2 linked regions of the Kluyveromyces lactis genome follow. The protein of the gene in region 1 binds, or shares a complex with, the protein of each later gene. Links are inferred from orthologs where the notes say so. Each region holds a gene or a part of one and is shown in the gene's direction. Other genes may lie near its edges.

What was found.
Region 2: RRI1 (region 1) and CSN9 share a complex: the UniProt entries of both Saccharomyces cerevisiae proteins name them as parts of the COP9 signalosome-like (CSN) complex. The link is inferred for Kluyveromyces lactis from reciprocal best matches to the Saccharomyces cerevisiae genes RRI1 and CSN9.

What each region holds. Positions count from the first base shown.
Region 1 is NC_006040.1:724,197-727,227, forward strand, and holds RRI1 (COP9 signalosome catalytic subunit RRI1), read left to right. Parts: upstream 1-1,408; coding exon 1,409-2,530; downstream 2,531-3,031. Other genes in the region: GDH2 (glutamate dehydrogenase (NAD(+))), read left to right, coding at 1-1,041; SWT21 (Swt21p), read right to left, coding at 2,514-3,031. UniProt on the Saccharomyces cerevisiae protein: Catalytic component of the COP9 signalosome (CSN) complex that acts as an regulator of the ubiquitin (Ubl) conjugation pathway by mediating the deneddylation of the cullin subunit of SCF-type E3 ubiquitin-protein ligase complexes.
Region 2 is NC_006040.1:1,529,734-1,532,112, reverse strand, and holds CSN9 (Csn9p), read left to right. Parts: upstream 1-1,311; coding exon 1,312-1,788; downstream 1,789-2,379. Other genes in the region: NVJ3 (Nvj3p), read right to left, coding at 1-1,019; KLLA0_D18117g (CybS family protein), read right to left, coding at 2,368-2,379. UniProt on the Saccharomyces cerevisiae protein: Component of the COP9 signalosome (CSN) complex that acts as a regulator of the ubiquitin (Ubl) conjugation pathway by mediating the deneddylation of the cullin subunit of SCF-type E3 ubiquitin-protein ligase complexes.

The sequences.
Region 1 (3,031 bases):
TTCCAAACCGGTGGTCCAGATGGTGATTTGGGTTCCAATGAAATTTTACTATCCACTGAGAATGAAGCATACGTGGGGTTGGTTGACGGTTCTGGTGTCTTGTGTGATCCAGAAGGATTAGACAAACATGAGTTGATTAACTTGGCCAAGCAAAGAGTCATGGTTTCAAGTTACGACAAATCTAAACTTTCCAAGAAAGGTTTCTTTGTCTCTGTCGATGATATCGACGTCATGCTACCTAATGGTGTCCTTGTCGCAAATGGTACTACTTTCCGTAACACTTTCCATTATGAAGTTTTCAAGTTTGTTAACCATATTGACCTATTTGTGCCATGTGGTGGTAGACCAAATTCCATTGATTTGAACAACTTGCACTATTTCATCAACAAAGAAAACAATAAGAGTAAGATTCCATACATTGTTGAAGGTGCGAACTTATTCATTTCTCAACCAGCCAAGTTGGAATTGGAAAGACATGGTGCTATTTTGATTAAGGATGCCTCTGCTAATAAGGGTGGTGTTACGTCGTCATCTATGGAAGTTTTGGCTGCTTTATCGTTGAACGACGAAGATTTCGTCGGCAAATTTGTCAGTACTGATGGTAAGACTAATACTGAACTGTATAAATCTTATGTGAAACAAATTCAAGAAAAGATTCAGTTCAATGCTAGACAAGAATTTGGTCAATTATGGAAATTAAACAAAGCTACTGGTTTACCAATGTCTCATTTATCCAATGTGATCTCGGAAACCATCAACAAATTGAATGATGATTTAATTGAATCAGATGAATTATGGTCTAACGATTTGAAGTTGAGAAACTATTTGCTATTAAACAAGATCATTCCTAAGTTGTTAACCGACGTTGCTGGGCCAGAGCAAATTTTGAAACAAATTCCAGACTCCTATTTAAAGGCTTTGTTATCCAGTTATTTGTCCAGTCACTTCGTCTATGAGTTTGGTACTGATGTCAATATGGGTAAATTCTTGGAATACATTGGTAACCTTAAGAGAGAAGCAAGCGATTTGGAAATCGTTTGATCAGAAACTTGCATTGAAACTCTTTTGTATTTGAAAAAGGGGGAAGTAAAATTCCAAATGTATATATATTGTGTACGGATGTGATGTAAACACAGCAAGATGCAATACTTATTTAGTAAGGTAGTGTACTTAATCACTTACTATTTTAATGAATTCCTATCTGTAATGACAAATCTTATCAATTATGCGCTCTTTCTAGTACGAACATTTTGTGAAATTTAAGATTCTATTTTACTTCGAATTGTAAAGGCAAGTAGAAAGTAAACTTCTCGTGGAAGAATTAACAACAGTGGTTTACTAAGTATCATTTTTCATCAAGAGTGTCTGGCCGCTTGCCTGCTACACCTTAGAAGACTGGGAATGAGGAATGAGCTCCATAAAATTTCATGAGAAATCCTTGAAAGAAGTCACTCGATGGATTCAAGCTAACGAAGACATCAATACAGAAACTTCACTTTCCAGTTCTAGTGATTCAAGCACGACGATTCCTGTAATAGACCACCTACCAGCAAGAATCCCGTATGCTACCGATTTGAAACGAAATCCGTGTCACTTTCAGAAATGCCTTATATCAAGACTTGCTACTACAAAGATGTTATCTCATGCGGTTGATGGTGGAGATATTGAAGTTATGGGGATGCTAGTAGGATACACTAGCAATGATATGATAGTTGTCAAGGATTGCTATTCTTTACCTGTTCAAGGAACTGAAACAAGGGTTAATGCGCATATGGAATCATATGAATATATGGTCCAGTATTTAGACGCATTTGTCACAAAAGAAGATAAGATAGTGGGCTGGTACCACTCTCATCCAGGATATGGTTGTTGGTTGAGCAATATCGACATCCAAACACAGTCTTTAAATCAAAATTACCAAGACCCGTACCTTGCCATAGTGGTCGATCCCAAGAAGTCTTTATCCGGAAACACTTTGGACATTGGAGCATTTAGGACACTGCCGTCTAAAGATAACAACGAGCATGTTGATTATTATCCACTTAACATTCAATTATATCAAAACTCACTTGATGTTAACATTTCAAAATTAAAATTGAAATTCAAGGTAGATCCAGCAATTCAGAACAATCCTAACGAACCGGAACTAATGAAAGAGCTACATGAATGTGTAGAGAATTGGTTTCATGCCAAAAAAGTGATGAAGTCAACTGTAGGATTCAATGCTATCGGATCCACCGTGGTTAATGAAACTGAGATAGGAAATGAAGATTTTACACACGAGAGGTCCAATTCAATCTCCTCGACCTCTTCCTTAACCACAAGGCATACTACTGATGTAGAAATGGATGATCAAGAGAGTGCTCAAAGTAGTCTTGATATACCGGCCAATGTGATACCTGGCATGCAGTTTCAGGAGGCAGAGATAAAGCATGAATACGAACTGAAGAAGAAGAAACTACTCTTATTGAAGGTTAAGCAATATCAAAAGTTAAGGACCTACAGACAACTATTTAATGCATCCGAATAAGCTTCACAGATGTTTTTAATGTCATACCCTCATCATCTGCAAATTTATCAGTCGAGGTTGAAATAGCGAGGGTGTTTGGATCAACAGGATTCGTTGCAATGCAATTCACCCTTACATTCTCATCTGAAATAAGAATGTTATTCGTTGGCTTTATTCCAGTACCAGCGGTTTGAAGTGGGTCCAACCCACCAAATTCAATGCAATCTTTGTCCCAGCATGCAACCTGACCATCGTACGATCCAATTAACAAACCTTTGGCACTGTTCAAGGATGCCTTGAATTTCTGCTTACCAATTTTGAATGGAAGTTCCAGTATATTAATTCTAGATTTTAACATTCGTGTATCAATAACATCGATTTCTCTTGCATTACGTTTAATACAGTACAAATAATGTCCGTTATCCGACTTAATGACTTGGTAGATTCCATTTGACCACGAGTCCAATGAATCACGCTCACTTATTAGTTCAGATTTAGTACTTCTAGTATCAATTCGTAGCA
Region 2 (2,379 bases), about 810 kb from region 1:
AAGCTGGAGGAAATCAGCCACTCTCCACTGAGCACCCTCTGTGTCACAATGTTTTGGAATATTTGAGATGCTATATTTGAAACAAAGGCAATCTTGGTGCCAAAAAATTGGGAAACTTTGAACGCTAAAAACAGTAGTGGTTTTCTCGTTTCTAACTGAAAACACTCATTCATGGCAGAAAAGAAATAGTGATTGAAAAATCCACTGTCGGGTTGATCAATTCTTCGAAGAACGTGATTAGTAGTTACCTCTTTATTGCTCAATTGAAAAGTGGACCATAATTTATGCATCATTTTTTGAATCCAGTTTTTTCTATCCCTTAGCTTACAGTTCTCTGCCTTTTCCCTGAGAAGACTCTCGCAGATAGATTTTACTATGTCTATCACTATGAATGGCTCTGCAATCTTCTCAGTCAACTTGTCTAGTAAAAAATCACCGAAGAAATCTCGTAAAAAGGCATTATGCAATCTTGAACCACTACTGAATCTCTCAACTATAATTTCAGCAATCGCATGGGGGTAAGTATGTTTGTATAATTGTAGCTGGTAAAAGTCATCTAATAACAACTGTTCTTGTAGCACTCTTCTCATTATCTTAACTTGTGTTTCTACAAATAAGGGTAAATCATCACATATTACTTGCTCCCACAAAATATTTGTATTATGAATATCATCTAACACATCATCAACAAGTTCATACAGATGTACTAAAAGCTCGGTGTCCGATGTTACAATTTTCTCCCCGTACCATGAGGTAACGAAGTTTTTCAATAGTAGTACCAAGATGGCATGTAAAGGAAGTTTCCAATCAGGACATCGAAAGATCTGCGAATGGATTTCCGTCGGATAAACTGAACAACATAGTTCTATGAGATACTCTCTTGAGTCCTTATTCTGTTCTGATATGAACGGAGCGTCGTTCGTGTTGATCTTTGTATTTAGCTGCTCTGCATTGATCTTGGTTTTGCGCTGGAATCTTGATAGCTGCTTCGAATTTGAGCTGTATAATATCGTCGGCATTACGGCTTAACCAGTTTAGAGCTGACACAACCTCAATTCTTCAGTCTTATTTGACAATGTTTAACCTTTTATTTCTCAATGGAACGACCATCCTTTTTTTGTTTGACATTCACGTTTTGTTGATGTTTTTGGTAGAAATATTCTATTGCTCCCAAACCTTAGCCATAACAGAAAAACCTTAATTGTACAAGCGCAGCGGGAAAAAAAAAAAATACCTTCAACTCATTCGAGTTTAGAGTCCATAGCACAATTACTCCCAGCACTTCATCAATTAGGAAATCTTTGGTGGCTCATGATGCGTGAACTGCTACGTAACTTGATAGAAGACAAAACGGTAATAAACTATAAGAAATGGTGGATGGAATGTAAAGATGCCCAAGAAACCAAGTTATTGGCTATTCTTTGTTTTTACGATATTGATGACTTACCGGAAGAGACTACAGCAGGTCTTGATAAGTTCGTCCTGGATAAGTTACGTGTTCTATCGCTATTAAGTCTCTGTGAATTATCTACTGAAGTGAATTACCAAGAGATTAAAGAGAAATGCGATTTAAAGACTGATGGAGAGGTGGAAAAGCTGCTCATACGTGCGGAGCTGTTTGTAGATTTGAAAATTGACAGTGTAGCAAGAAGGGCTACGGTACTGGAATATAAAATCAGTAGGGACGTCTACAGTGGTGAAAAGGGAGTACCTTTCCATACTCCTGTAAGGTCCAAAATCAACATTCTTTCTGCGTTGATTAACTGGAGAAGCTCGCTTACTGACTAAGTAAAATGATTTAAGCCCGATAATTCTGCATTACGGCGGTTCCGGTAAATTTATTTTAACGGATGGTTTTAATTGAACTCTAATTAAAAATACGTTAAACAACTAATTGCTATATGAATTTCATTTCTGATGAGCTAGAAAAGGTCAAAGAATCCCCCCACACGTACGAGACAACTCGTCCTGTGACCGGAACATTGATTTCAATATCCCATTAAAATGTTGCGCAACCTGTTGAGTAAGTGATTGTGACTTCATGTTCGGGTGTTGTCATTGTCTCGTGGATTAGCAGGGCTTAGAACTGTTGCATAGTCTTTTAGAGTCCGTTGAGAATATAATAAATAAATAGCAAAGGAGGGTATTTCGATGATGAACTTAAAGCCTCCCTTGACCAAGATACTGATGGTGCATGTTTGATAGCTTTCGATGAATCAATCATCAAAAGTGAATAATTCCAGTGTTCTATAATACGAGAACACAGAAATAATAATTGCATAATATGGTTGGAGCAATTGGAAACAACGAGAAAGTAAGTATCCAAAAAAAAATTTGAAAAAAAGATCATATCATGAGTCTCTTAGATCATTTCTTTTC